2 linked regions of the Lepisosteus oculatus genome follow. The protein of the gene in region 1 interacts with the protein of each later gene in a biochemical or structural test. Links are inferred from orthologs where the notes say so. Each region holds a gene or a part of one and is shown in the gene's direction. Other genes may lie near its edges. The genes, in order: nuclear transcription factor Y subunit alpha and zinc fingers and homeoboxes protein 1.

What was found.
Region 2: the proteins of nuclear transcription factor Y subunit alpha (region 1) and zinc fingers and homeoboxes protein 1 form a complex in vitro, tested with the Homo sapiens proteins (2 studies listed by BioGRID). The link is inferred for Lepisosteus oculatus from reciprocal best matches to the Homo sapiens genes NFYA and ZHX1.

The regions. Positions count from the first base shown.
Region 1 is NC_090700.1:39,808,555-39,824,683, reverse strand, and holds the start of nuclear transcription factor Y subunit alpha, read left to right. Parts: upstream 1-8,976; 5' UTR 8,977-9,100; exon of another isoform or gene 9,101-9,150; intron 9,151-9,722; exon of another isoform or gene 9,723-10,787; intron 10,788-11,897; 5' UTR 11,898-11,943; coding exon 11,944-12,024; intron 12,025-13,098; coding exon 13,099-13,179; intron 13,180-15,557; coding exon 15,558-15,704; intron 15,705-16,129. Other genes in the region: ngrn (neugrin), read right to left, coding at 3,876-4,446, 5,603-5,713, 6,960-7,222. UniProt on the Homo sapiens protein: Component of the sequence-specific heterotrimeric transcription factor (NF-Y) which specifically recognizes a 5'-CCAAT-3' box motif found in the promoters of its target genes.
Region 2 is NC_090705.1:10,702,853-10,719,162, forward strand, and holds the start of zinc fingers and homeoboxes protein 1, read left to right. Parts: upstream 1-10,146; 5' UTR 10,147-11,201; intron 11,202-11,310; exon of another isoform or gene 11,311-11,437; intron 11,438-11,450; exon of another isoform or gene 11,451-13,359; intron 13,360-13,708; 5' UTR 13,709-13,842; coding exon 13,843-16,310. Other genes in the region: ATPase family AAA domain-containing protein 2, read left to right, coding at 173-358, 826-961, 1,393-1,589, 1,810-1,969, 2,365-2,487, 4,023-4,175, 5,455-5,826, 6,624-6,757 and 2 more. UniProt on the Homo sapiens protein: Acts as a transcriptional repressor. Increases DNMT3B-mediated repressive transcriptional activity when DNMT3B is tethered to DNA. May link molecule between DNMT3B and other co-repressor proteins.

The DNA.
Region 1 (16,129 bases):
AGTGAAAATGCAAGTGAGGTAATTTGTGAACCATACCAGCAGTGCTGTAATTCTAATTCCAACAGCTTGATAAATGTGATGTGCAAGGAAGCAGAAGGTGTGCTTGATGTGATGTCTGCGTCTGCTTCCGGACGTGAGACTAAAGTTGTCCAGCTTGGATCCAGATATCACTTCTCTGATTGCACAACAAAAGCAGCTCCATTCTTCACATGAACTTTTTAAGTAATAAAAAGAGTTGCAAAATAGGCAGCTTTGATGGTAAAAATATTGGTACTTTTCATCAAATTTAATTCAATATTAGTTATTTTTAGTAAATTGATAGGTGGTGATTTTTACAGGGGAAGAAGTGGCATAGGCGGTCCTACGCATCTGTGACCTGGTGTAAGCGGTCTGCGGACCATAGAACTTTGAGAACCACTGCTCTAGGGGATCATGGGTCTGGACTTCTGCCAGCTGCCATGCTGCGGTACTGTGGTTCTCTTAGCCTTAACTGGTAGAGGTGGGCACAACAACGGGTGCCATCTGGACACGAATACACTACATCTCGGACCTCACGCATCCAAGTTCCAAAAAAGCTTCCTTGGAGAGCAAGCAGCCTTTTAAAAGACTCAGCATTTTGATTACATTCTCCAGCTTTTGTAACTGGGTCTCATGGTGTTTCACACTGTTGTTTTTTTCTTTTCACTTTCTGTGCTTGTAATGTCTGAACGGCTGGAAGATGATCTCGAATCCAAGTTAACCAGGAGGCAGAACGTGTGTTTTTGTTATGACTGCTGCTTTCCAGACAGTCCTACCCTCCCCACACATGCCTTGGGGGCTGGGAGGCCTAAGCCTTTGTAGATCACAGCCTCTCGTGAGCCTGGGTTGCGTTTCAACGTCTGTCCAACTCTTTGTGGTCTGGACACACCTTCTGCAGCCTCGTGTGCATGAAAAGTAACGTTTCTTTTGTGGCCAAACGGGCAGAAGGGGCTTAAGGCTGTCTGCTCAAACCCCACCAGCCCACACAGCCAGGCAGGCACAGATGCAACTGTGTCCCCAGGGAATGCAGGCTCGTGTACCCACTGAAGACTCGGAGAGGCAGGGTGGCGCGGTGTCCCTTACACTATTATGGCATCGGCTCAGCCTGTCAGCGTGTGAATGTACTTCATTTTGTTTTCTTTAGCTCACCTTGCAAAAGTGCCTGTGTGAAAAATACCTGTGTCCTGTAGACCATGAAAGCAGTTAAAACTGGTTTAGTAATGACTTAAAGAGCATGAAAACTGACACAATTACCTATTACCTAGTACCCTAACAGTTGATCTGTAGCTTATTTGGTTTGTTCCAAACTGACCTTTTTTGGGACAAAAACTGATTTCATATTTCCGTGGACTTGGATATTTTTTTTGCCTGTATGTACTCTTCTGCAGTACTGGAGTTAAGGCATGTTTGATTGAAGAAGGCATCTCCAAGGTCTTGTTGTGGCTCTGAAAGAATCCCTCTGTAGGGAAAGATGCACCCAGCTCCTGTCCCCAAAGGCCACAGTCCAGCAGCATTGTGTTCAACCTGCCCAAATGATGAGCTTCAATGGGTAAATAAATCTGGGGGTGGGGGACAAAAACCAGTAATGGGCAGCCCTAGGCTACTACAAAAGAAATACCAAGTACCCAGAATCTTGGGGGTGGAAGAACAGGGAAGATCATGATCGCCTTGCAGGAAGCGAGGTGGAAGGTTCCGCACCAAGCTCCTCATCAATATGGCTGCAAAGCTGGCATCTTTGTCCCTTGCTTACTTCCGCTTACTTAGTTCCTAGAACTTGCACAGGCGTGCAGATCTGGTTCAGTCCGACACACAGCGGCTTTCAGCAAGCCTCACATGCTGCTTCTCACACCCTCCAGAGCAGTGATCTAAGTAATGCGTTCCACATTTCAGATGTAGAGGACATACGCTTTGGGAGTTTTCAGAGAAGGGGGAATTATTAATAAATAATTTTGTTTCCTGGAGTCTGGTGAGAGTAAAGATAATTCATTTTTGAATAATTATACCAGAGCTGCACAGCTCCTGTGCTGACATGGGGTGGGGCCTGTAGGTGTTTGTACAAACTCTTCAGTGATCTCAATGATTTCCTGTTAATGTTAACTTGAACTGATCCAATAGTAGTTCACCTGTTGATTTTTGTAGAGACTTGGAAAACCTGCTGGATTCCTTCCCTCAAGTACTGGAGTTGTTCATTTTTGCATTTTTACCATATTAGCTTATCAACAGGCTTTATACCCCTCTTCCTCATTCATGGCTGACGGAGGGTGGATGAGAATGGAATCTCAAGATGTTGGGGTTGGGTTTCTGATAAAAGTGCCAGCTATGGAAAAGCTGTAATGAAGACAGAGGAAACTGTTTTCCATTCTTTCTCTGTAATTGTATGTAGATAGGGTTAAATGTGGTCGCTACATAAAATGACTGTTCTACCTTTGGACTGGCTGTTTATTTCTGTATATTTGGGGAAAAAAAATCTGAAAATGTTTGGTTTACAAAAAACATTACTGGTACTTTTCTTTGCAAAGCAGGTTTTTTCTTTTCAAATTGACAATAAAAACAAAATGATAATGCCTCTGCTTTTTATTGGGGGAAAAAAAACATTCCAAAACACAGGCTCATTTGTAGCTATTTTAATGCGGTACAGTGGCTCTGCGGCTGGAAGGTTGCCGGTTCGTATCGGCGTATCTTACTTCCAGCAGAGCAATCCTACTCCGTTGGGCCCCTGAGCAAGGCCCTTAACCCCCACTGCTGCAGGGGTGCCGTATAAAGGCCTGACCCTGCCCTCTGACCCCAAGCTTCTCTCCCTGTCTATGTGTCTGAGGAGCTAGTTGGGGTATGTGAAAAAAGACATTCCTAATTACAAGAAATTGTATATGGCCAATAAAATGATCTTATCTTAATGCATGGATGTCACTCAATCATCTATACTTTCCCATTGTTAGACTTATCAGTCTCCAGTGAAGGCATTCCAACTCGGTGCTCAGCTAGTCAGGCTTTGGAGAACAACCATCTGGCAGGCCTGTGCCAGTCCTGGCTCTGAAAGGTCGGTTTTATTAGACCTCCTTTAATACAGCAGCACCTGAAGAGCTGGGAGAAGCAGTAAAAGTGGCCACAAAGGGACAAAAACAAAACCAGCATCTGAATTCCTCTGCATTACAGGGAAATTAACCCTCTCGTCGCCTACAGCCCTGAATCAGTAGAAAATTTAGAGCAGGGGAAGACAGCCCATCCCTCCTGTTAGGTTTTTTTCATCTGGCTCATTAACTACAGAGGAGATCTTCAAGACTTGGGTCAATTGAGCTCAATTTAGTGACCGACGTTGGGAAAAGCTCACAGGCTGGTAACCGCAAACACAGAAACATGTCAAGGTTTCCTTGCCCTTGATTCAGAGCAGCCAGGGAAAGCAGGGGCTGCTGGTTACCCACAGTCTGGCAGTTACACAGACACGGGGCTCGAATTCATCAGTGGGAAGCATTTCACTAATGAGGGAAACAAGTATGAGCTAAACTTTAAAGGCAAAGTTTGAAATATCTAACTAAATCGGGCAGGTATCGTCATATAATGATAACTCGGTGAGGGAGGAATTTGCTCAAAACTGACATTTTGGACTGCAATCCTACAGTGTAGTGTGCTGCTAAAAATAACCATCACCCACCCCCCCTCTCCCCACACGAGCCCCGCCATCTAGATGTATTTCTTCCTGTCCTGGAGGTACATCACTCCACCGAGGTGCTTTCTTATGCTGTGGATGTGGGAGGCAAACCACACTCAGCAGCCCACAGATGAGCTGGGTACTTCTTCAGGCTGTGTTTAGCAGGACAGTGGCAGTCTCATCTTCTGCCCCAAAGCGGAGAACAGAGCACTCATATTCTGTACAGGAAGTTACCTTCACCATCGTAGAACTCGCTCCCAACTTGAACCACCTCCAGCGGTTTAGGGGAAGGGTTTGCTAAGAGCTTTTCCAGCTCCTCGTCATCCAGGACCCTCACACCCTCCTCCTCTCCTGGGGTGATGTCCTGGCTGCTCTCGGAAATCTTGCCCAGACGTGGGGGGTCCTGAGTGGCCGGGACGCCCAGCCGGGCTGTGCCATGAGGAGCCAGAGTTCCTCTGGGAGAGGCCAAGAGGACCGCTGTTGCTTCCTGTCCTAAAGCCAAACTTGAGCCGCCTCTCTCGGCCTGCACCTCTCCCACCCCTGGGGTCAACATGGCTGCCGCCGTGGCTGGCACCTGGGCCAGCCTTGCATCTTGCTTGACGCTGCCCAGGAGAGACTGGCATCCCGTTCTGGCAAAGACCCTGCCATCTTGCTTCTGCTGCCTCTCTGGCGGAGGAATGAACTTACTCCTCAGTACCCTATGGATGACATCGGAGCTGACGCCAAACCCCTCAGCCAGCCGGCCCACTGTCCACTCCTCAGGAGTGTCACGGTTCAGGTACCTGCGAGGAAACAGGGAGTGAAACAGACCTGCTGCCAAATCTGTAGAGGGCTAGGATTCCAGGTGAGACAAGACAAGCTGCTGCTAAGCTCAGACACCAGTGGCTGTGATCATGGTGGAGAAGGCCACAGAAATTGCATTTCACAAATATATTTACATATGGACATGGGTGAAAAACTAGGAAGTTATTCAGCCCATCCTTCACGCAGTCATTAGTAGCTATATGATCTGAGGATATCATTCAGCCATTTCCAGAAAGACAGAGCACTTTCAACTTCAAAGACATGGCAGAGCTGGCTTGTTTGAGGCATTGACTCGTGTCCTTTTAAGACTAAATAATCACAGTCTTCAGTTTGTTTTAACAGCTAAAAAAGTACTGTGAGTTCATTACCTTAGAAACTGAAGCTCTACCGCATTCAGTAAATGTCAATCTACCTACTGCCCTCCATGGCTTGTTTTTCAAGTCTAATAACGAGTCACGCTCGTTAGGCTACGGCAGACATGCAGGGAGTCTGCAGTGACAATTAGAACCTTAACGAGCCACTGTCACTTTAGACTTTTTCCAACACATCATGCTGCTATCTGCTGGATCTTAATTATCCAAAACAAAATCTTATTTCATATTTGAGTATATATTTTCTGCAATACATTTTATTGTACATGATTATACAGGCATTTCTATTGTTGTCCTGAATGTATATCTATTGTTTGTGTCTGAAAATACATCAAAGTTATACAATGCATTAGAAGGTTGACATGTCTGAAGGAGGCAGAATTGCAGTTTCTAAGGTATCTTGTTTTAGGTGTCAGCACAAAATGAAGATCTTGATTATTTTCTCTTAAAAGGACACATGCTGCCGTTGTGCAACAATGCACCCATTTTAAATTTAAAACTCATTTTTATGTAGGAATTAATATTTAATTTAAATGTATTTTGGATGTTACACAAATGCCGTAAATCTTGGGGATCCATGTCTCGGATCAGCCTAGACGGTGGAAAATCCAGCGGATCGGATCGTTAGTTACGGCAGTGTTTTCCTCCTGCCTTCCCTTCCTGCTGAGAAACGTGGCAGGGGGCTGCGGCAGACGCCTGCAGGGATCTGGCTGCCAGCAGTCTGCTGAGGGTCCTGTGCACATGCTCACTGGCGCCCCCTCACCTGATCTGCTCCATGGCGTCCCAGGTCAGCCTCCTCTCTGGGGGGCCAGGTGGGGAGAACTGCTTCGCCAGCCTGCGGAGCTTCGTTGCCTTCCGTTTCCTCCGTTCGGCACTGCAGGAGACAGGAGTCCCTCCAAGTTTTACGGATGAATGTTGGAGACTGTGGAGCAGTACTGGGAACATACAGACAGAGGCCAGGACTCCACAGAGCAGCAGCCTGTTTAATCGCCAGCAGCCGTATCACCCTGCAACCCACAACTGGCAGCCCAGTGAGGCTCAGCAGGTGGGAGCCTGGCCAGTACCTGCATGGGAGACCTCCTGGGAAAAACTAAGGTTGCTGCTGGTAGAGGTGTTAGTGGGACCAGCAGGGGGCTCCTCACCCTATTGCCCCAGTAGTGTGATGGGGACACTATACTGTAAAAAGGACACCGTCCTTTGGATGAGAGGTCCTGATTCTCTGTGGTTGTGTTTCGCAAAAAGAGTGAGTGTTACCCGGGCATCCTGGGAAATCTTGGTAAAGATTTCCCAATTGCCTTTACCAATCTTGGCCTCCTAATAATCCCCATCTATGAACTAGCTTCATCACTCTGTTCTCCTCCCCACTGATAGCTGGTGTGTGGTAAGCATTATGGCGCACTATGGCTGCTGTCACATCATCCAGGTGGGAATGCACATTGGTGATGGTGGAGGGGATCCCCATTACCTGTAAAGCGCTTTGAGTGGAGTATCCAGAAAAGTGCTGTATAAGTTTAATGAATTATTATTATGAATTGTCTTTGTCATCACTGACAATGCTCTCAGGGACACAGAGAAACTCAGTCATTGCTGCTGCAGGCAGCCAGGAAGATGCCTCTTAAAGGACAAGTAGGGAAACTTTCCTTCCTTCATTTAGACATACGATCAACCAGATATGATGAATTGCAACATCAGAACATCCATCCATTTTCTGCCTGCTTCACCCAATCAAGTATCACAGGGAGGCCGGAGCCTGTCCAAGGCAGGGTACACCCTGGACAGGATGCCACTACATTGCAGGGCATGCACAAACACACACACTCACACCAGAGCCAATCTTCCCAGAAGCCACTTCGCCTTCCAGTATGTCTCGGGACTGTGGGAGGAAACCAGGGCCCCCAGAGGAAACCCACAATAACATGGGGAGAACGTACGAACACTATGCAAATAGCACCCCAGGAGCTGAACCAGGGCCCCAGCGCTGCAAGACAACACTGCTCACCTCTGTGCAAGGCCGTGCAGAATGACTAACAGAATTACAACAGGTAAGGTTGCTAACGAGAGGAGGCTGCCTGGTCCGTGGCGCACGGGTGCGAAGGGGAAACAAGAGTGTGCCCTCTCACCTGACCACTTCTCCCGCCAGCTCCTCCAGGTCCTCTGGGCCATCCTCCAGGAACAGATCCAGCTCCCTTCTCCTCCGGTCAGGATTTGGGACCAGTTCCGCCCCCGACACCCTGCCGGCCCAAGACCGCTCCTGCCGGCTGGACTGCCCGAGACCAGGGGCCGGTTCTGGAAACCCGAAGGCTGGTGGGGCCCGTTTCAGCAGGACAGAGGCCCGGCCAGGCCTGCTGAGCCCCGTCAGGGAGGACACGGCCCTGAGAAACATCACGCCGCTGGACAGCTCCTGAAGTTACCAGCTTTATCGGAGAAGATGGTGCGACATTTCCCTTTAATTAAAACCAGCTGAAATTTTCCATTAAAATGTTTTTACACAGGAATTAGGATTTTTATTATTATTTTAGTTTTGAATGTTCATTATTTGTTATGGTTATAAAACTTTTTTCACCGTGGTGTTTTCAGCAGCCTCTTTAGTAAAACGCTGGATTACGATGTTTTACAAAGAACTTTTGTTCTTACAAAGGTCCCTTTTCAGGCCATTAAGGCCCATGGGCCTTACTCATAGACTCATTTGGAAAGCAATCTGAGTGGACCTGGGAGCCGTCTGGAAGACAGAAATAATGTTCCCTAAAAGTAACGATCTACAAACTAGTTAACGTGCCAACGGCAACCAAATCCTGATTGCAAGGCAGCGCTGATCTCGCAAACATTTGTGTCATTGTAATATACTCTCTCTCCTCTTCGTTCATTTTAAGTTTAAACATGGAAATCGTGGTGTCCTCTGAGTAACTGGGTTGACCAAAATGTCATTTCTTCTGAAAGGGAGTTGATTACAGACACATCTTCATCAACAACAGTACCTGCTAGGATATCAGGGAGATCATAGGGTTTTCACAATTTTTCACTGACCAAAAACACAAACCTTAAATGTCTATTTTTACACCAATGCTAAAGAAGCTTTAAGTCGGGAAGCAAAACTTCATTTCGACAGCACCGCAGCAATAATACTCCGATATGTGTGTACTGACATTACAGGGCGAAAGCAGCTGTAACTAAAGCATAACTCTATTTTGCGTTATAAAGGGCCTATACCAGGTTTTTATAAATACATACCGTCTACGCAGTTGTTTAACATAAGAAAAGACGCCAAACGCACGTTTTCATCAGGAACGACGGTTGATTAACCCAGCCTTCACGGATAAATCGACCATTTACACTGTGCGATGTGCGACTGCCTTTCCTAGGCTTTGTGACGGGGAGGTGGGAGGAGCAAATTCAACATGGCGGACACCTCCAAACTGCCGCATCCATTTTGAGCACAGTACAGGCAATGACCCTTAATAGACCCACTTCACAAATGGAAAACCCCTAAGCAATCTAGAGGCTTTTTATCTGAAGAAGATATGGAGTGATCCAAAGAAGAATGGTTATAACTTGATTACGTTTTTTTAAAAAAAATACTTTCCAAACGTACATCCACAAACTGGAGGTACTGATTATATTGTTTTACACTATATTCAGTATTCTTATTTTTTAAATGAAAAGCGTCTAATAAGAGGGATATCTGGTGGTTTTTGTGTTCATATTTCTTGCAAGGAAACTGAACAAAACTGTATTAACTTCATCCCTAACATGCACACACAACAAACATGAAACATCCAGATGGACTTCAAAACAAATAAGTGAGATAACGTTTTTCAATTGGATTGAGCTAAAAACTGATATGAACTGCATAGGTTGTGGCTAAAAAAATCAAATTCGAAGGTTTATTGATGTCACGGCCTATTTTAGGAGTACAGTGAGAGGTTCAGGTGTTTGGACTATAAATTAATACCGATATCCTAAAGCTTCAGTCTGTACTTGTATAAAATATTCATACCAGCCTCCTCCCCCACGAGCCTGTTACAGCGCAGGTGCCTCGCTCGGCTCGCCGGCGGTAATGCGCCTGCCCAGCGGCCATGCCCTGCTCAGCGGCTGACAGTGCGCCTGCGCAGCTTCCGGGCAGGGGGGCGGGGAGACGAAGTTGTCCTATTTGTCGGTGCAGACCGCGCTGCGCCATTTTGTTCGCTCGCCGTAAGCTCGGTGATTGGGTTTCGGGGATCGGTACTGGAGCCAATCAGAGGGGAACCGGGGCGGCGGAGAAACGGTGAGAGAGAGCGCGGCTTGGAGGGGCTGGGAGCCGGCAGCAGGGGATTGGTGTGTCACTGACCAACCAAATTACTAACACCACAAAAATACAGGAATTAAAAATACCATAAAGACACCTAGCCGGAGACGCGCACAAATTGGCTTGAGATGGCGGATGGGGGGCGAAGGGCCCGTCCTGAAAAGGCTGCTGAAGCGGACCGTCAGCGGGACCCGTCTTTATTTCTCGGGGTCTGGCGTGTGGGGGGAAGAAAAGGCCCGGTTTTCTCCGGGCTGGGGCAGCCGGTTCCCACCACTGCCCGCCCCGCCGTGTGCGGCAGGGTTGCTGGGCTCCAGGCGACCTTCGCACGGTGTACTGCGCAAAGGCGCCTCTTAGAAGAAATAAAACACTTAAAATCTACCCACAGAGGACCGTGTTTCTAACTCCAGTAGGGGATGCAGTCGGCTAAAACTACGCATCTGTAAAAAGGAGAGGGTGTAGTGGGGACACAGAGTCGCCTTTGTCCTTACAGTGTGGGATAAAGCGCTCAGATCTGGGTTTTTATTAAGCAGAAAAGCCCAACGCGGACATAACAAGTAACCGTTGATGAAGGTGGAGATGAACCGCTGAACTAGCGGTACAATTATTGCTTCTTCGCTCGTTGATAAATGCTTTAGTTGACGATCTTATTCTCTTTAAAGAGAGGGGGTAACCCCTCGCCCCAGTTCAGAGACGGACCTTACGGATGATGTTTCCCAGTTCGGTAATGGGTTGGGATTGTAGGTTATATAACTGAATAAATATGAGATTTGTACCCATACGCGTAACAAACAGGGGGTTTTGAGTAATTGCTGCGCAGATACGACACAACACGATGTTTCTGGGTATTTTTTAAAGTCTTTAAAATAGTTCGTCAAAATTAAAATATCAGCCATCTTGGAAACCTATTAAGTCCCGGTTTTATGGACGTTTTCTGTTTTTGTTTTAAGTAATATGACGAGTCTTTGCAGGGTTCTGTGCTCTGCCAGCCCCGTCACAAGACGCCCTAAAACAACGGGTTGTAGCTGGACCTGCTCTATAAAATAAAGTTAAAGCCTTTAGGGCTCTTAATAGACGCTTAAATCCGTTTGGAACAGTTGTTTTCCAAAACATTATGGGAGACAAGTGAAAAAACGGTCCTGAACCGATACGAATTGAGACTCCACGCGTATTTGGTAGTGTAGCATTAGCAAAGCACTTAGAATCAGCTTTAAACAGCATTTGTGAATTTGTGAGCGTTTAAAAAATGTTTATATTATATTACATGGATTACAACCCCCGACTCGGGTCAGTTGGAAGCAGTAGCTCGACTGCACTCTGACGGGGGAAAATGGCGTCTACACCTCGAGCGCCTTTTCGTGTTAATCTAAGATTAAAATGTGATCTAAATATGACTTGAAAACAAAAGTTTGAGTGGGTTTGCCGAGGTTATCCTCCTTATAGTCGCTGGAGAGCAGATGCTTTCTTTGCATTTGCGTGCTCTTGTGTAACGATTGTGATTCAGCCTGCTACGAGGGCTTTGCACAACGCAGATTACCTGGGTGCACTCAGTTGGGGGTACCTAATGCACCCAGCGCATGTCGTTATTCAGTCAACAGAACGGTGGACTCGCTTTAGGATGAACACGTGGCCTTCTCATAACAGAGGCACGATGCGGAGAATGTGCCAGGTCTTGTATAGCGCCGCCCGGGGGCTTTCTGCCTGGGAGAGAGAGAAACGGGGGTTCGTCACAAACCCAGCTACCCCAGTCACACGGGTGTCCAGCTAAACTCCGCTCTCCATAATGCACAGTTGTCATTCTCTATTAGCACCTTTACACTGCTGTGTGTGTGCAAAGGAACAAGTAAAGGTTTATTCCAAGAAAAGAGGCAACGTTTCTGAAGAAGACTCCACACCCCACACGTTGTATATCTTTTCAGCATGGAACAAACCTTTACTTGTTCCTTTGTAGCCTACGCATGCTGACACAGCTACCTACTTGAACATCTTCGCATATATATCATGTGTGTGTGACAAGAATGGGCAGCCCTGGTCCTGGTCTCCCAGTAAGTGGCGAGCCACAATCCAGCAGTCTTTATGGGTGACCCTTAAGACATCAATTTTAAAGCAGTTATGTTTTGAAAACTGAAGCAGGTGAAAATCCCAGCACTCTGGAAAAATAGCTTTACCGTTCTTCACCAGACCTCCTGTGTGGGGCTGCTGGTGCAGAATTGCTTCCATTCTGAGTGAGTGGAGTGAATCCTCTCCTATATGTATGCATACATATTTACCATAAAGTGCTTTGTGAGCCTTTGATATGCAAGACACTATAAAATGGAAGGAAATATGGAATTATTGTTTAAAAATTATTGCTGTTTTTCTAACATTTATCTGGAGCCAGTTACATTTGTACCCGTTTATACAGGTCATAATATATAACCTTTCAGTAACGAGACCAGAACTGTCGCTGCTGCTGCGAAACGTCTGCCCCTATGCCCTGCCCACAGCTCAGCATGTAATATGTTTTTATGTAAAAAGAACGGGCTAGTAATTTGTGTACTTTTGTCCACTTCTGTTAATGTTTTATGTTTCTACCAATTTCAAAAAGACCTATAAATTAACACAAAACCAACATCAGAAGGCATTAACAACATTGTACAGTTTTTACATAACCGGCTAACTGCTAGTTCCAAATTAGTTACCCATATGCCATTATTTCCCGGGAGGAGGCTGCTTTGTGAAAAAGTGGTTTCTGGTTTTCTGTGCATGACCTGGTGTTTCTTTGTGTTTCCCATGTCAGAATCGGATTGTTTTAAAGAGACCTGAAGGTGGACGGGGGCTTGGCAATGGAGCAGTACACCACCACCAGCAGTAGCAGTGGGGAGCAGATCGTGGTTCAGGCCGCTCCAGGGCAGATCCAGCAACAGGTATGGCAACTCTTGATTGGGAAAGGTACAATCACGCTGACCTGGATCTGACAGACTGCGGCTTCAGCTTGTGGTGGAATCGGAGATAAATAAGAGCCCTCAGTCCTATTTTGGTTTGAAGGTTTCTGGATACCAATTGGATTTCATCCCAGCTCAGATCTTAATGACCTAAAAAAGCTCACTATTGGCCTAGTTGGACCAATTCATCAACACCTCTCAGGTTTTTATAGTCCTAGAAAACCTGCAGACACACTGGCCCTCCAGCACTCAGAAGTACCCCAGGTGCTGTTCTAGCCATGGGTTTTCAGGTCAAGTAAAATTGTTTTTGAATGTAGAAAAATGTTGCTCTTAAACATGTTCTTAATTTATCTAAACAAAATTATGTTTTAAAGGTTGTGAATTATGTTTTTACTATATCCCTAACTTTTTTTCTGTCAGATGATCTATTTCTCAGATAATTTATTCCCTTACCCTTTTCTCATTTTTGTCTTTTAAGTCTGTTCAAAAGCCCAGCCATCTTTCTCTTTTTAAACAGGCTAAAAATGTTTGTCTCTTAAGAATTTCAGGCACATTGGGGCTCTGTTGGCTCTTAACAAAAAAACGTTAATCAAACTCTTCTTGTATGTGTCACAGTTCATCTGTTTGGACCTTCTAGCGTGTGGGGCCTAGCTGAGAATACACTTCATCTCCTGTTTTTTTTTTCAGCAGAAAGGAAGGTGCAGGATAAACCATTTCACAAACTTTATAGAGCCCTGTTGTAAAAAATGGTGCAGGCTCAAGCCCTTCTTTGTCCGGTAGTTTAATCTTGTGCATCATGTATGACCTGATCCTTAAGGATGTGCTGAAAGCTGCTGATCATATCTTGGATGGATGCAGAGGTATCTTAGGGATAAATTGGACATCCCTGCTATATTAGGAAGCTCCGTTTTTATTGTTTTTATATACAGTCTGGCAGAGCCCCAGACTGTAGGATCCTTTATTTTGGTGTGCCAGTTCCTGGCCATGTGGGCGTGGACAGCGCCAGGAGGCAGCTGCGGGACACAGTGTGGTAATGTGCATTGTTTCCGGTCGCAGGGCACGGTGACCGCTGTCCAGCTGCAGACAGAAGCACAGGTGGCTTCGGCTTCGGCCCAGCCTGTGCAGACGCTCCAGGTAGTGGTGTGAAATCCAGCTGCGTCGTCGTCCGCCGTGCTGCATGACAACCCTGCCCGATGCTTCTTGCCTCTCGGGACTCTCTTAGCCATGTTCCTCTTCAAATCTGAGCCACGAGCTCTAAACTAGTTTCTACTTCCTGCAGACACTCTAGGAGGTTTGCTTTAAACAGAATCAGAAAGTCCAAACCCATACTTTCGCGTTCTTGCCAGTGGTATTTATTCTCAGTCAGGTTCAGGCAGTTTTCTTTTTTAATTGACTTACTAATACTTTGCATTGCAGAAGTGCTTTTCATCCTAGAGCATTTTAAGGGTAAAAGGGGCTTACATCATGCTTCAGTTAAGTGCAGGACCATTAAGATGAGTTCATAGGCCGTTTTAAGCATTTTACTTAACATTTATAAAGCTTTAGCGCCACTGGTTAAATCAAAGACCTGGACTGTTTAGATTATAAGACATCAAGAGAAGCAAAACAGCCAAGGAATGCCCAGCATGCTGTTGAATTATTGCACACTGCAGGACATACATACCACTCAGCGGACCTCAGGTTCCATAGAAATGGGAGGCAGGGCTGCACTCGTTTTATCTTGGCAGCTTCTGCACAACTTGGCTTGACTGTGCAGTGACCCCAACTGAGCCGCATCATTGGAGATCTGTCATCGCTCATTGAATGTTTTGCATTGTGACCTTTGGGCCATAAAAAAGCGTGCACCTGCATCATGACATTTGCCTGAGGAATCATGCAGTGACCTGTGTCAAAGAAGTATCCTGAAGAGCTTTGCTGTGCTAAATATTGAATATAAGCTTAACTAGATACCAACTTTGGCATAGAATCCCTGGCATCTCACAGCAGAGATCCTTGATTGACAGATAGAAATTGAATGTCTTTATTCTGTTGACACTCTTTGTATCCGGTGTTTAAGAAAGCTTAACAGACTCGCAGTTGGCAGTGAGAATATGCTAGGGCCACTGTTTATCAATTGTGGTCCAGGATTTACTGCAGGTTTTCTTAGGAGCCTTGAAAGTTCAGTCAGCGGAGGACTGGAAAATTAACATGAGCACCTGGCTTGCCCAGTTGAGGTCTTTAGAGTTCAGTTTGAGAAAATTGTAAGAGGACCCTTAGAATCTCCAAGACCAGGGCTTCAGACTCTGATCAAGACAAAGGAAGAAATAGGTAGGATAAAACGGTGCTGCATACCTAATAGATGGTTGGAGGATGTAGATGGAAGATCAGTAGTTTAGGAACACCTCATATTCAGCTAGGCATGCAAAAAATAAATGCTGCCTAGCAACTCCTATACACAGTATTAAATGTAGAGCACGCTGCATTATAGTGGGATAGAGGAGTGCAAGTCTTGAGAGTAGAATCCCAGGATATAGAACCCAGTGTCCTTCATCCAGTAGGGGAGTAATTGGGAGTTATATGTCTTCAGATTATTTAGCAAACTGCATTATTTGGAGGCAGCATGCTAGTGTCGCTGGACATTGCTGCCTTATATCTCCCACAGTTCTGATTTGAGCCCCAGGCACTTCTCTGGGTGGAGTTCGCTTGTTCTTGCCACGTTTGCATGGGATTTTTCCAGATGCGCCCCTGTGCCAAGATGTGCTAGATAAGTTGATGGAGTGTTATGAATTGCCCATCCATCCATGGACAAAGTGTTGCTAGGATAGGATTTGACAACTGATAACATGTGCGTGGATATATGTATATTTGGAGTAATAAAGGATAAAAAGGTAAAACACAACTTCGTTCATAGAACTAGTTGCACCGCTAACATGTGTGCTTGTACCAGTGGTCCCTCTTAACCTTGAATGTTTGACGACCTGTCATTCTTTTAAAAAAAAATGTCCACAGTTTGATCAGATGCGATGTTTTATAACGAAATAAGAAAAATTATCATGACTTGGTGAGGAACAGGATATACAGATATTATTTTAAAAAAGGTATATTTACAGGAGGTCCCATCCTGCATGTTCTGTATAAAAGGGACAACAGATGTGCATGGTTGTCCTGCTGTGTAAATATGTCAGGAAGATGTCAAAGCTGTGCTCCTGCCTGCTAGCAGCGCTCACTGTGCATAAGTGTATAATTGTTTTTTTCATCATTCTCATCTCAAGCTGTCTTTGCTGAGTCCATTGTGGACATTGCTCAGTAACTGTGCTGTCTGTGGCCTGAGGAGTAGATGAAGTCTACTTTTTTTTTGCTGTATCATGAATGCTGCATCATGCCACCTGATCAGTGCCACCCCACATCCCCTACACAGCGGTTCGTCAGTTTTAAATGCATGTGGCTCCACTGTTGTGCAGCGTGCACTGTATAACGCTCTGTGTCCCTCCAGCTGATTCTTCAATGTGGTTGCGTCTCTTCCCTCTTCCCCGCAGGTTCAGGGTCAGCCGCTGATGGTGCAGGTGAGTGGCGGCCAGCTCATCACTTCTTCTGGCCAGCCAATCATGGTTCAGGCAGTCCCTGGAAGTCAGGGCCAGACCATCATGCAGGTGCCTGTCTCTGGAGCACAGGGTCTGCAGCAGGTGAGCAGTCTCTGTTTTAAACAGCACTTGTTCTCCTAATACAATTTTCTGGGAATAAGACTTAAGCCGCACATCAGTTTGATCTGTTTCTGGAATTGCAGATCACCAGTGCTGTGCTTTGGGGTTGAATATATAGATTTATATTTAAAAAAATCAATGAGAGCATTAAAAACCTAATGTGTTTTGTGTTTTGTTAATAGCCAGAGTACTCCACATTAGTGCTGTTCACCACTGGAATGTTTTATTTTTTCATTTAACATGAAGCAGGCATATATACAAGCAAGTTGTTCTCATGGCACTGAATTCCAAATCCCTTAAAGTTTGGAGATTCCCCCCTCTTACCCATTGGGTTAAATCAGTTCCAAACAAGCAGAAAACATTGAAGCGCACAACTGTTAAAACAGTTGCACATAAAAATGCCTCTG
Region 2 (16,310 bases), on another chromosome or scaffold:
ATAATTACACAATTGATAGTAAAGAACACTCGTATTTTTATTCCGATTGTTTTTAGGAATCTTTCTGAGGTATGTGTGTAGAGTGTACATTGTAATGTTATTGTAATCTATAATACAATGTGTAAATCTTTATCTTTTCTTGGTATGCATAAATACACTATTTTTATTTCAGCTTTTCTGTGAAGCAAAGCGAACTTCCCCCAGTATCCTGTACATTCCTAACATAGACCAGTGGTGGGAGACAGTAGGATCTGCTCTGAGAGCTACATTTCTCAGTCTGCTGCACGGCATTCCTTCTTTCTCTCCGATACTACTTCTAGCAACTTGCAGTGTGTCTCGTGACTGCCTATACAAGGAGGTATTTGATTTTTTTAAAAAAACTAAATTTTATGGTGTCAATTTGAGTGCATTTGTCTTGTAAAAATATTCAGGATGAAAAAATGTTTACTCTCATCACATAATGTGGACATGGTTAATAAATGTAATTCCACAACCATGCTTTTGATATCTAGTATCTATTAAGTCTATTATCTAATCTAGTATGGAACAGCCTGGGAACAATACCCCTTTTCATGGTGTTTACACAACTTTCATCTCTGTTACTCATTTATGCAAGTCATAAATGGCAAACTTTAATTACCTAATTTTCTTATTACTGTAAATGAAATTGTTTTCATATGTATAGAACTGTAGTTGCATTACTTTCCTCTTGCAAAAGACAGTTTCCTCTAATCCTTCAAATAGGCCGCCTTTAAATTTTTGTCTTCTCTCAACATGCTTACAGGTATTTGACGCTGTAAAAAGTGTTTCTGCTGTTGTTCTTAGGTCCAGGATCTGTTTCAGATTGAGTATGGCGAGGTGTTTTGTGTTCAGCTGCCCAGCCAGCAAGAGAGAAGAAAGTTATTTGAAGATCTGATTCTGAATCAGACTGCCAAGCCTCCAGCGTCCAAGAAAAAAGCGGGTCTGTTTTCGAAAGGGCGCTGCGCTCAAACAGCATTGTTGTGAATGGAGGAGGAGCTGGGCTCTTTTTAAGATTTGTGTTGTGGAGGTGGAGGGGGGGCAGATATAGGACAAAATTCCAAGTCAAAAGTCAATTTTAGCTTTTTCACAAATCTTTTCGTATGAATTTAAAAAGTGCTCATCTGCTTTTGTCAGATTTCCCGTTCCATAGCAAACTTGAGCAGTTCATGGAAGTTAGCTTAAAAACTGCGAACGAAATGAAGCTGGCTCTGTTCTTCACCGCCCGTTGTCGCCAGTTATGCCTCAGTGGAAGGAGGGGTCTTCCACGGCAGGCTCTGATGCCGAGGCGCCCCCCTTTGGGCAGTGCAGTGGTGGGAGGGGCCGGGGGCCTGTGTGGGCGCTCACGTCCTGCCTGTGCTGTACCGTACGCAGTGATGCGGGCGCTGGAGGTGCTGCCGGTGGCCCCGCCGGCCCCGCCCCGCCAGCTGTCGGAGGCGGAATTGCAGAGGCTGGAAGAGCAGGAGGAAGACACCTTGCGGGAGCTACGTCTCTTCCTGCGGGACGTCACCAACCGCCTGGCCATGGACAAGCGCTTTCGAGCCTTCACCAAGCCCGTGGACATCGAGGAGGCACGTGGCTCTCCCCGTCTCCCCGTGTCTCCCTCTTTCTTTTCTCTCTGCGTGCTCAACGTCTCAAACTAAAGTGCTGCCCTGTAATGACCAAGACGAGGGCATTTGATCAAGTAAAATTCCTTTTGTGGTGCTGAAACTAAGAAGGTCTCGTCTCTTATCTGGAGACTGAACGAGGCAACCGTTTGTACTTGAATTTTGATGTATTTGTCTTGTTTAGGTTCCTGATTATAAAACGGTCATCAGGCAGCCCATGGACTTGTCCACTGTGCTTTGCAAGATAGACTTGCATAAGTATGTCACTGTCAAGGATTACATGGAAGATGTAGACCTGATCTGGAAAAATGCATTAGAATACAATCCAGACAAGGATCCTGCAGGTAACAGTCTCCTTTGTACGTGTGTGATCATTTTAACATGGAGAACAATTAAAGACGCTGATGGATGCACTTAAGTGTGATACAGTTAACATATGAATGCAGAATTAGTGTTCTCTTTATAAGGTTTTATTGTACCATACATTTAAGGGGGAAATGTATCAAACTCTGCTGGGCTAATATAATCTAATATCCCAACCATTTGTTTTTTTTTATTTCCTTAGTCATTTATTCTATTAAACTAATAGTTGTTATAAAAAATAATTTGGGATTTAGCTTTCAATTTAAAGGGAATAGTAAACATTTTCGTTTTATAGCTATATTAAAAATATGGAAACTTATTTTTTAACGGACTTTTAAGATGGCTTTTTGTGTACTCTTCCTGGTCTGTGTTGCAGATCGATTAATACGCCACAGAGCCTGTGCTCTGAAGGACACAGTCCATGCAATCATTAGAGAAGAACTTGATGAGAATTTCGAGAAGCTATGTGAAGATATTCAGGAGTCCCGGAAAAAAAGAGGTGAAGTATTTATTTGTTTAGTAAGTTCTACGCACTGCTGATTTTTTTTTTTAATGGATACTCTTTCTACGATCAGCACCTTATTTACATAATTGTACAGAATTACTGATTATAAAACTAGAAGCATCTTTGCACCCTAAGATGTGCAGAAATGTACTGTAAGTTTGTAAGTTAACATTCTTTTTGTGATATTTATCCAAATCTGATAAAAGGGTCCCTATTTCTGTTTACTTGCCCATTGTGGCAGGAGGGATTAAGAAATGAAAGAGAAATCTCTCCCTAATTTTCTGTTTTCCTTCACTTATTTTTTCCCACTGAATTCTGAATCTCTAGAATTAGGTGTCTTTTGAAGCTGTCATAGGAAATTCTGTCATGTTGGTACATGTCTGCCAGGTCAAGGGCATATATTCTGCTGGTAAAAGAAATTACATGTCAGAGAAGTAAAACAAAATCTGCAAGCTTATTTTTCATGCACTCTTAGCTATTTTAAGTTGAGGTCTTTATTGTTCGGCTGCAACCCTGTGGTTTATAATATTTGTTACAAATGGGAAATGAGTATAATTCTATACAAATATTATTAGAGTCTGGATACCTTTGTTTTTTGTTGCACAAAAGACTGTGGTACCATACCGGATTATAATTTCATCATGGAACTGAAAAACATGGAGGCGATCTGACTACTAGCACCAAAAACCTGTAACCTGTGAAGAAAGTAAATTACCTGTTTATACCGAGTAACATCTATGCGTATTCCCAGACATTGTTTAACATATTAAACATTCTTTAAACAAACACCAAGCACACCTGATAACACTAAAGCATGTGACATTGTATAGTTGGTCACCATACATGATATTGTAAAAAGCTAGGGGGTGCAAATATGTTGAATAAATGAGGTAAAACATAAGGTTAACAGTTGCTGCCCACCTTCCAAGCAGCAACTGATAGGCATGTTTTCTTTGTTCTCTGGAACAGTGAGGTAAAGTGTATTGATAATAAGTAATGCGTGAGTAATACTCAAGGCAGCACTAATTTATAAGATTAATATTTAATTTACAATTATTAATAATTATTTTTGGTCAGCATACCACAAAAATCATAATATAGCTTTCGAAGGAGTTCAGAAAACAACAAGAAATAATTTCCTGCTCTCAGCGATTGTCCTTTACAGATTTGTTAAAGGTGTTACATATTTGAAGTTGAAGATGAGATGAGATTAGATCAAGATATACAGTATCCTAAAGGGTGTGGATGGGGTCAATATGGTCAAACTTGACAGTGAAACAGTTGCACAGCTCCACAAATGGAAGTTAAAAGGGAGTCTGTTTAAGAAACACTTCTACTGTATACGCAAAGAGTTGTTGGTATCAGGAACGTGCTTTCCAGCCAAGTGGTATAATCATGAGGCTGCTGTTCGAAATGTTTATTCACTTTATGTACTAAGTTACCAAATGAGAAAGATGGTCTGATTGCCCTCTATTCATGTTTCTTAAGTAGTAAAATGTTTTGTAACTAGTTTTTTTTTATTTTTAAAGGCTTTTCAACTTCACAGTTTGCTCCATCCTATTACCACGTGCTTCCAAAGCAGACTAATTCTACTGATTCCAAGAAAAATGAGTCTAACGTAGCTAAGGACTCTGTCCAAACATCTGCAGCACCTGTAACCACAAGTACTCCACGCCCTCAAGGTGAGAATTTACGGTCACAATTTTTAATTTTAAGTGTTATTTAAGGTACATTTTTGTACCAAGGTAAGACTTAAATGCTTCAGTAAAACCTGCATGGAGGATGAAGACTTATTAAAGAAAGGAGATAACTCATTAAAAGAAAGATAAATGTAATAGTCAAGAAATGTCTGTTTCTAGAAGACCTCATCATTAGTAGCGCATTTACCTTGGTATGCTGCTCTAAAAATCAGTAAGTAAAAATCAGATGGATTTTAACCACTGAGAACTTAAGCATAAGTGGGAAAGAGAACAATAATATTTAGCAGATCATGAATGATTTACAGCTCACATGACATTCAGTGGTGTTTTACCGCTGTGGAAATGGTGAGCATAGGACCAGTGAAAAGGGCAAGTCATATACCAAGACAGTACGCAGGGATGTTGCTGAGAATGAGGACAAGCCATATATCAGGACAGCATGCAGGGAGTTCACTAAAGTGAGAACAGGATAAGGACAAGCTGCAGGGAGTTCATTATCAGTGAGAACAGGATAAGAACAAGCCATATACCAGGACAGCATGCAGGGAGTTCACTACGAGTGAGAAACAGGATAAGAACAAGCCATATACCAGGACAGCACGCAGGGAGTTCACTACAAGTGAGAACAGGATAAGAACAAGCCATATACCAGGACAGCACGCAGGGAGTTCACAACGAGTGAGAACAGGATAAGAACAAGCCATATCCCAGGACAGCATGCAGGGAGTTCACTACGAGTGAGAACAGGATAAGAATAAGCCATATCCCAGGACAGCATGCAGGGAGTTCACTACGAGTGAGAAACAGGATAAGAACAAGCCATATCCCAGGACAGCATGCAGGGAGTTCACTACGAGTGAGAACAGGATAAGAATAAGCCATATCCCAGGACAGCATGCAGGGAGTTCACTACGAGTGAGAACAGGATAAGAACAAGCCATATCCCAGGACAGCACGCAGGGAGTTCACTATGAGTGAGAACAGGATAAGAACAAGCTGCCGGGAGTTCACTACTAGTGAGAACAGGATAAGAACAAGCCATATACCCGGACAGCATGCAGAGAGTTCTCTATGAGGACTATTTTCAGTATTAAAAGTTGTATCTGAGATTATCACACAATATCTCAATTTAGAAATGACATTAGCTTTCAGGAGGTTACTGTAGGTATTGGTAATATTAGTGATGCATCAGACACCATATGTGCAACCTTACAAGTCTATGAAATTATTTCCCACACATCAAAAATCGATGTGCCAGTAGCAGTTCTGAAAAGAAAGCGCAGGAGATGCCGGTGGAGTAATGGCTTTATTGCCAAGAAAAAGACTTCATCTGCAACCTCCAAAGAGGGCGTGAATGGACTCGGGTTAGAAGGAGAGGAGAAGGCGGAAGAAGTAGCCGAGAGCGAAGATTGTGATGAACTTGACGCGTTACTTAGCAACGGGTCCAGTCTGGAGCCGATTGAGCTGGAGCGCTGTGAGGACTCCGCAGGGGAGGGTGATCTTGAAGCTCCTGAGAACATAAAAGCGAAGCACCCAATAACTGATGAACCTGCACAACTTGAACACCAGGCAGAGAAACTGCCTTCCACCCCTGCAGAGTCTGATGGAACAGACAATCAGGAAGAACCCAGAGGTGTGTAGAGCTGATGGCTACATTCACTGCCCTGAACTTGGTTTCAGTTTAATCAGTGCTTTTCTTTTTTAGGTTTTGGAACATACTTCACTTCATATTGACAGCTATAGAATAACGTTCGGTTGTGTAGTTGTGTCATCATGCGTGCTGCAGAGAAACACAGAGGTTAAGTCCATGTTGGAAAATAAAATGCAAAATAACATTTTGGTTGCAGATCCTTATTGGGTAGTACACACTTGAAGAACACTCTGCATTTGAAACAGTCCTTTTTGCTTCTTATTTTTTTGGAGAGGAATTAACCTGTACTTGTTCCTAATAATCTACATGTGCATCTGCCTCTTTGCTGTGTGTTTGTCTTGATTGACTGGACTATGTGTTGCATTAAACCACAGCAGTATGTTTGGTTTCTGCCCCAAGTGAAAGCTGTAGCACCATTGCATGTTAGGGGTGGAGATGGAGAAAGGTATACAGTAGTGAGGCTTAAAAGAATGGTGGTGTGGCACAAGCTTCATAGTTGTCATTCATGTAAACACTTTTTCACCTCTGTCTACATAGGGGGAAAAGGACATTTAAACAGTCTAGAGTTTAAGAGATTTCATAACCATTTTTAAAAATATGTCTTGGAGAATATGCAGGGATAGAGGTGTATTAAGTGATTTTGAAAAAACCTGTTAATGTTTTTTTTTAATCAGAAGACAGTGCAGGTCTTCAAGGAAACAACCAAGGAGTCGTTTCTATGTGCGTACTGTCTGCTAATAACGTGTAGTGACTGTCATCCTGTCCGCCTGTGCCTGCAGAGAAGAATGCCCTGCGCATGACGCGAGGCCGGCGCTCTCAGGTCGAGCAGCAGCAGCTGATCAACGTGGAGAAAGCCATGAAGATCCTCTCAGAAGTGACCCCACAGCTAGTCGTTGATCACCAGAAGCTGAAGGTATCCTCTCGGCTGATCAGCAAAATTTTCTCTCTATGTCCCTAGTTAACATTTTTCTGTGCAATGTAAAATCACAATTTTACATTGTGCACAAAGGATTACAGTGTTTCAATCTGGGGGGGGGGAGGGGAGGTTTACAATGACAACAATTTGGTGTTGTTTAAAAACAGCCAGCTGTAAAACCAGTATTTTGCCATTTTCAGAACACTTCCAATAACAGGCATTAGTACTTCAGAATTAAGAAGAGTGTGAAATATTTTATTTTGGTTTGGTGTCTTCAACTTTAGGTGAAAAAGATCATTCAAATGTTATAATAATATAATTAAGCTTGCATAGAACTTAAAATATTGTTACAGGGGGGGGGTTATGAAAATGGTGAAAATCAGTATTTGACTGAGTGGTTTAGTCAACAATTGAAATAATTATTCATAACTCTCGACTTGTAAGAGATTTCTAGCAATTACCCGAGTGGCTGGTATAACTAGAGGCACGTGAATTATTTATTCTCTGGCACAGCTTTGCTGAGAGGAGTAATAATCCAGGCACACTTGGTTAAAATAAATATTTATTACAATAAACTATACAAGACACAAAACATACAACACACAAAGTTACATTATATACAGTATTTACAAACGAGGCATTTCAGAGGCCTAACTTTCTGCTCACCCATAAATCCCCAGATTGCCACTAAGCACTAAACTCTTAATATGCCTACACACAAGTGATGAGCTGCCTTCTAACTAAATACAAAGTAACCTGCAGTTAAATCTCCCTGCACCCTGGATGCCACAAAATAAATGGGAGCCTATATCCCTATCCATAAAAATGCACCCTAATGAAAGACGTTTCTAACTGAGGTATCTTTTACCCAGGAAACCCAAGTTCCATAAAAACACAGAAAAGCACGTTCTCTCTAACAAGGTTCAAATACTTAGCTCCAGTAAGGTTTGATTTGGATGATCAGGAAGTAGGTGCTCTCGCCTTTAGCAAAACTTTAGCATTGTTTCTGCTCAACGGATCCCCAGACCTCAGCAAACATCCTCTCTCCTTTGAAGTTAGAAGTATTTAATTTATTCTTCCCAGTGTCATAAACTGTTTCTGAAATCTAAGAGACACTTCTAAGTCACCTAAAGCTGTAACAATATGTTCTAAATATAATGATAATGAAATGAGCACTAACTTAACCCCTTATTAACCAGATTCCAAAATAACTTGCTTACAGAACAATACAGGTCTTGAATCTAAAATATATCAATTATAAAAACAGAACAGCCCTTTCTGCACAACTCTAAAATTCTTTGTCTTGAACAACAAAAGGCTGCACTGAAGGAAAGGTCAAGAGGAGATGATTGCTTTCACTAACTTGATTTGTTTCTCTGAAACGGATGTGAGTGAAATAACGAGGCTCTTTTTTTTAATAGAATTTACTGGACCGGGTGATTGCCAAGACTGAGGGATTTGAGGTGTATCAGCTGGAGAAGCTTTATGCTCTGCTCTGTCAGTGCATTTATAGACATCGGAGAAATTACGACAAGACTGCACTAATACAGGTACAATAAGGGTTTTATACCCGAAGGTTTTAAGCGTCTTGTTTAATGGTAGAAAAGACCGAGACTATCTAATGGACAAGATAATGGATCCTGTTGAAAGATGTTGACTAAATTCAAGAAATGTACATTGCTTCTGAATTCAGCAGTTCCAAAAACAACTTGAAATTTCTCCCTTGTCTGTGTCTTCTTAGAAACATCACAAGCCAAATATGCCGTTGCTTATATACATTATCAAGTAATATGTGCAAAAGGAAGATTTGTTTGACGTAAACTTTAATTACTTACATTGTGAGTCAAAGCTTAAGTGTGATGTGGGAAATATGGCAGATTTGTTCTTGGTTTCTGAATGAAGAATAAATTGTCCTTTTCTTCTTTTTTTACAGGAAATGAAAAAAGAAATTGAGAACTTCACTTAACTTTTCTGACTTTTTTTCCAAAATAAATGAAGCAGGTGTCAAAAAGGCATTGCAGTTTCTTATTAAATATTGTACAGAGCTTAAGACTATAAACTATAAAGTGTTTATTTTACTAGAATTTTAAGTACATTTAGAGATTTCTGGGTGAAGTGTTATTTGGCTTAAAGTTCATTAAATGCTTTAGCAATCCAGTTCTTGTAGTTGTTTTTCTTGTAACGTCTGATGCCCACTGAGCAGTACTAAACCTCTTTGTGTTCCACTAAAGACCCCTTTTTTAAGCTGAAGCAAGTGATGCAACAGAGTATCAGCTTCTTTGTTGTCATTGTGGAAATAAATACTGCCCTATAGTATAGTTGGTTTATAGGCCTTGGTCTATATAGCAAGGCCTACATTTTTAGTGGCCTGGTTACTGTAATACTGTAATATACTAGGCTGTACTTGAGTTTTCTCAGACCTTTGTTCGTGGTTATTGTACTCTGATATTTTTGTGACATTTAGTAGTTTGCAACAGCGCAAAAAACAGAATGTCAGTCGGCAGTGTACAAAGCTGTAGAAATTTTTTTTTTTAGGGTGCTGGGTAGAAACATCACAAGCCAGATTGCAGAGGTGCTTTGTATATGAATGAATGTAACCCCACCTAATCTTCACGAAGCAGTCCTGCTGAGTAATGAATAAATTGTAGCTGCAGGGCTTCAGACCTTCACTGCAGACTCCAGGGCTCATCACTTGTCGGGGAAAGTCATGCCTTGCTCAGGGGCAATTCCGTAACCGAAGGACTGCCATTAATAAAACAATGTATCCTACAGCCACTGGGTTCCCAGTGTCTGCAGAGCCTTAATCACACTTGAAGCGATTTTTAACTACACCACAAACTATAGAACCCATCATTCTACGTCATGGTTATTTTGTCCTTTGGTTTTGCTTTAAGACGTCGCTCCTGACTAGGCTGTCCTTGCGGTCACAGCCCTGCAGGGGGCTCACGGTGTCGCTATGAAATCATTCCATGCCCTTTCTGTCCCTCTTCACGGGGTGGTGTGATATTGTACATTTAGGTCTTCGTTTCTATCCACCTGGGATGACTTTCATATGACAAGGGTTTTTTTTTTGTCTTCCAAGTTTCCTTTACACGTTACACTTGATATGTTTTGTCATTTTAGGTCATCTGTAATATACACCTTAGAGTCCTGCATAGGGTACAGTGGGTATCTAAGCAGGATCTTTGCATAGTATTTTTTTTTCTCAGTGTGGTATGTAAGCTTTACCAGACAGTGTAGAATTTATGATATTAGAACTATTATTTGCCATTATCTGGAAGACTGGCTATCCGCCTTTTAGCGTAATGAAACGTAAAGCTTCTAACAGACGGCAGATGCCGCCCTTTCTGCCGGTATCTACAGGCGCTCCTACGTAGGTGTGAGGTGAGGGTGTAGGGCGGCCGGGCTGCGTCACCCTCTTTCCTACCCGAAATCGTGAAGCCCCGCCCTGGGTGACCCGAGAGATATGTCTATCACGGGCTGCGCCGATAGAGAATATATCAATAGGACAACAATAACGTTATACTAAGTGAAGCAAAAAAAGTTCAAGGGATTATCAACAATAAAAAAATCAATTGCAACATCATTCTAGCCAGACGTCTGTGTGCATAGATCTAGATAAAAGATCAAACTCAAGGCGTTGTGTGACTCGGGTCAATGAGTAACTCCTGTTTAGGAATGGGGTGATGGGTGTTTTGCTGGACACGTTCGCTGGAAATTTGCACCTCTTAAGAGGATTATGTCCTAAGCGAGATAGCTGCAGCATGTGGTCGCAGGAGCATAATTCTTGCACAGCAAAGTAAAGAAACCCCGCTTTCAAGAGACTCGGCAAAATAAACATTACAATTGCTGCCTGGACTTGCATGTGTTGTGTCGTTGATAAACTTCAATCTCCCGCTGGTCTTCATACACCCGTTTACCTGCCGGGCTGCCACAAGGTGAGGGGCGTTTCCAGCCTTTGGGGGCCGGGCAGTCTCTAAGGTGTCGTCCACTCACAAAGGACACTGGGAGAGGCCACGCCCACGTCCCCGCCCCCCCGCCTGAGCAGCGCGACTCGCTGCAGGAAATCGGGTAGGCAAAAAAAACGAAGTCGGGGTAAGTCGCTTTGCGATGACGCGGAACGTATTTCATCGATGGTGACGCCCGGGTGATTAAAAAAAATACCCTTCTGAATTGACACATACTGTAACGGTCTTTATCAAATATCATGCCGATCGCCGTGGTTTCACTGACGTGTCTGTTCTGATCGACGCCTGAAAGGACGCGAAGCGCCGCTGAAAGCGCCGGAGAGCGCTGCGCAGCTGGAAAAGCGCCCTGTAACTGTATTTTTGTTGTGCATCTCTGGCCGCATCAAGCGGCAGCACTTCATCTCGCCTGCCTCCGCTGTTCCAGCCCAGCAACAACTGCACTAGTGTACCAGCGCACGTAACTCTTCATACTGGTAGGTATCCAAGTCATGTACGGGTGTTGCATACGTCGGCCTTGCGGGCGGTGAATCACTGTTGTCACACACACGTCCCAGTTGGTACAGGATGGTTTTTTGGGGGTGGGTGAGGAAGGAGGGGAGCCCTTTCACCAGCCAGTACAGTGTGCTGGAGACGGAAGAGAACAGACAGTGGCCATGGATCACGGGCTTTCTTCAGTGGTCTTTATATGCATCATAAGAAGTTAAAGAGCGTAATTCTGTTTCTAGATAAATATGAATCGCCGTTGCATCTAAGCGTATTGCTTACATGTGGAGATTTACATAGACCATATTAGTTTATTCTGCATTGGCTTAGTCAACCTACCGTCGCCTCTTGTATCGCTTGTGAACAGTTTTGACGGTGGACGTATTGCCTTGCTTTATATCTATGTTTTTGTTTTTTTGTAATGTAAAGGCGACATCCCTTCTGGCATGAAGTATTCCGAACTTTGAACTTACGTCCTATATATAAAGATCAAGCGAATAATTGGGCTGGCTTCGTACATTTCCCTAAAAACACACACCTAGGGTGTACATACTTAAACGTATGAGTACCTGGTTATTTAGTGTAAAAATGTAATGGAGATGCAAGAAAACAGGAATGCTTTTGTGCATTTTTTGCTTAAAACGCTGGAAGTATAGCTTCTAGCGTAATAGTTTCGAAAGCTTAGTATTACACAGACTTATTCCGTTAATATCGCTTGAGACGTTCATTTATATTGAAAGTATGTGCGAGGCAGCCTGAGCTAACCCCATTTCCTTTTCTTATTCTTTTTTATGTGTTACAGTAAGAGTAATCGTGCATGCCAGTGATGTGCGCCTGCGCGGTTTTGTCTTTCGCGAATACCTTTGTTTATTACGATGAGTGCCCTGTGATTTTCCGTCCTTGTAGTCTCTTACGAAACAGTAAGGTGTATTATTATATAGCCCGACGTAAACTCGACGGGTTGTGCTGTTGTAATTGCTTGATCCGGAACGCATCTCACAACCTGTCGCCTTAGCTTGGCCGAGAATCCAAAATAAATGTGAAGTGTTTCTCGGTACTCAGGAAGTGGTGTTAGTGAAGGCAGTCTGGTGCTACGTAGTGTATGTGACCCAGGATATTCTTGGAGCTTATTTGAAAGGGCAACTGAGGAAAAAAAAAAAACATTCTGAGAGGACATTTTCAAAAAATAGCTTTTGTCGTATCTCCTAGATGACCGCTTGTTGAAAATCTCATGATTGCAACCTCTCTGCTAACAGCATTACAGTAATTTAATTACACTAATCAGGCACTGCAGCGTCAACAGAAGTGTTTTTCCGTTTCCTCAGTAAATCTGTTTTTACTAAGATTTAAGAAAAACATATATAACATTCCTTCCAGCAGATTCTAAGTAGTTCACATCACGTCAATAATAACAACAATAACTGATTTTATACAAGTAGCATTAACAAAGGGCTACCAAGATATAAGAGAGAGAGATCACTTTATTGGCCACATACAATTTCTTGCATCAGGAATTCGTCTTTTCACATAACCCAGCTTGCTCTCCATGAGACACAGACACACAGACAGAGAGAAGCTTGGGGTCAGAGCACAGGGTCAGCCATTGTACGGCGCCCCTGGAGCAGCTGGGTTTAAGGGCCTTGCTCAGGGGCCCATCAGAGTAGGATTCCTCTGCCAGCCATGGGATTTGAACCGGCAACCTTCCAGCCACAGGCGCAGATCCTTAGCCACAGTGCCACTGCTCCACCAAGCTATATCACACAGCAACTCACAACTGTTATCTCCCTGGTTAGTACCTGGATGGGATAAAAACTAAGTAAAAACTAAGGTGGCTGCTGGCAGAGGTGTTAGTGGGGCCAGCAGGGGGCGCTCACCCTGCAGTCTGTGTGGGTCCTAATGCCCCAGTATAGTGACGGAGACACTATACTCTTAAAAAGGCGCCGTCCTTTGGATGAGACTTTAATCCAAGGTCTTGACTCTCCGTGGTCATTAAAAATCCCAGGGTGTTTTTCAAAAAGTGTAGGGGTGATACCGCTGCGTCCTGGCCAAATTTCCCATTGGCCTTTTCCAATCATGGCCTCCTAATAATCCCCATCTATGAATTGGCTTCATCACTCTGCTCTCCTCCCCACTGAGAGCTGGTGTGTGGTGAGTATTCTGGTGCACTATGGCTGTCATCGCATCATCCAGGTGGTGCTGCACACTTGTGGAGGGGAGCCCCCATTAGCCTTAAAGTGCTTTGATTTGAGGGTCCAAAAAACCACTATATAAGTATTAGGATAATTGATTATTTATATTATGATAAATCTAAATGTTAACCTGTTTATTCACCCACTTCTACAATAAGGTTTTCGTATCAGCCTGCCTGTTGCATTCAGTTTCACAAACACAGTCATATTAAATCCAAAACAATGCAAATTCAAAAGTCCATCTGACTTTGAAAGATGCTTTTGAAGTTTCAGAATTATATGCGTTTTTTTTTCTTTTCCTGTTTCAGGGACGCAAAAATCTTGGCAATGAAATGAGGTTTGTAAATCTACAATGAGCTGCCCCTGAGAAACAAAAGAGGGCCGGGCTGACAACTCGTCATTTGATGAACGCTGCCTTTTCGGGAGGGGGGACGGTCACACAATGGCGAGCAAACGGAAGTCCACTACCCCTTGCATGGTCCTTCCCACAGAAGCAGGGGAGCAGGACCCGGATATGGAGATGATAACGGAGCTGGAAGAAGGCACCGACGCCCCAGTGGAAACACCCTCAGAAAGCGCTGCGGTCCCAGCTGAAAACGCCTCGAGCGAGGAAGACATGCAGGATGTGGACCGCTACATCGAAACCATGGATTCTAAAAAGGTGGAAGGTGGATACGAGTGCAAATACTGCAGCTTCCAGACCACGGAACTGAACATGTTCACCTTCCACGTGGATTCGGAGCACCCCAACGTAGTGTTGAACTCCTCCTACGTTTGTGTGGAGTGCAACTTTCTAACCAAGAGGTATGATGCACTTTCAGAACACAACTTGCGCTACCATCCCGGGGAGGACAATTTTACCCGCACCATGGTGAAGCGCAATAACCAGACCATCTTTGAGCAGACCGTCAACGACCTGACCTTCGACGGCAGCTTTGTGCAGCAGGAGAACGAGGAAGGGGGCGAGGACACCACGGCCACTGGGATCCCGCTCAGCAAAACCCCCATCATGAAGATGAAAAACAAGGCGGAGCCCAAAAGGATCGCCGTGCCCCACAAGGCCGCTGAGGAGAATGAAGTGAAGGATGAGAGCGAAGGTGAACAGGAGCCCAAGGAGACGGCCCCTGTCGGGACGCCGGCTCCCGTGGAGGTGGTGGCTCCGGTCCCGATGGAACCGGTAAAGCCAAGTGTGGTCGTCAGCAACAGTTCCGCGCAGCAGGATCCAAAGAAGACAATAATCAATTCTGCCACCGTTCTCCCAGCTGGGCTCGCTCAAGTCCTGTCGGCCCTCCAGGCCCAACAGAATTCCCAAACCCAGCTCCTGATACCCGTCAGCAGCATCCCAACTTACAACGGGGCCATGGATAACAATGCCCTTCTTGTGAGCACCTACAACAAGTTCCCTTACCCCTCGGTGTCGGAGATCATGGGGCTGTCAGCGCAGACAAAGTACACAGAGGAGCAGATTAAGATCTGGTTCTCTGCCCAGCGCCTCAAACACGGTGTGAGCTGGACGCCAGAGGAGGTGGAAGAAGCCAGGAGAAAGCAGTTCAATGGCACCGTGCACACCGTGCCACAGACAATCACAGTCATTCCTGCCCATCTCTCGGCGGCAGCCAACGGCCTTCAGCCCATTCTACAGACCTGCCAGATAGTTGGCCAGCCGGGCCTTGTGCTGACACAAGTTGGTGGCACCAATCCCTTACCGGTAACCACTCCCATCACATTGGCAGTAGCTGGTGTGCCCAATCAAACACATCTGCCAAAACCTGCTATGCAGACAACCCCGACTGTAGTGGAAACAAAGAGGGCCACCACCGTTCAGCCTCCTCCTCTGACCCCTCAGGAGAACTCTGCTCTGAGCGCTGATAATTTTGGAATGCGACCTAAAAAGTCTAAAGAGCAGCTTGCAGAGCTGAAGGCCAGCTACCTGAAGAATCACTTTGCCAGTGATGCAGAGATAGCCAGGCTGATGAAACTGACCAATCTCACAAAGGGCGAGATTAAGAAGTGGTTTAGTGATACGCGCTACAACCAGCGCAACTCAAAGAACAATCATGTTATTGTTTTCAATGAAAACAACAATGTCAACAACAATGCCACCATAGTGATTGATTCGAGCGATGAAACTACAGAGTCTCCTACGTCTGGCCCTGTCAAAGAGTCACGGAAACAGACCTGGAACCCATTCCCAGACTTCACACTCCAGAAGTTCAAAGAGAAGACCCCCGAACAGCTGCTGATACTGGAGGAGAGTTATCAGAAGAACTCCACACCTACAGACGAAGAACTCAGCCGACTCAGGTCTGAAACCAAGCTGACCCGTCGGGAGATTGATGCCTGGTTCACGGAAAAGAGGAAGGCGCCGGAATCGACTGATTCCAAGCCAGAACGCAAGGAGAGCGACCCTGTGAAATCAGTCGCCGTCAAGCAGGCATCACAAACTCCCCCCAGCGGCAGGAGCAGGTCGGGCAGAGAAAAGATCGGGAAAAAGACCCCGGAGCAGCTCCACGTCTTGAAAAGTGCCTTTGTGCGCACGCAGTGGCCGTCGTCGGAGGAGTATGATAAGCTCGCAGAAGAGAGCCGCCTTCCTAGGTCCTACATTGTCAACTGGTTTGGAGACACAAGATATGCCTGGAAAAACGGCAACTTGAAATGGTACTTTTATTACCAGAGTGGCAACATCAGTGCTATAAATGGAAGTGGATACAGGAAGAGAGGAAGAGGTAGAGCCCGAAATAGAGGGCGAGGTAGGCCTAGAGGGAGACCCAGGGCGGGCAAGAGGTCATCTAGCTGGGGTAGGTCACCACCAGTGATGAAGTTTAAGACTGGAAAAGAAATTCTTAAAGAGTATTACCTAAAACACAAGTTCCTCAATGAGCAGGACCTCGACGAGCTGGTGGCGAAATC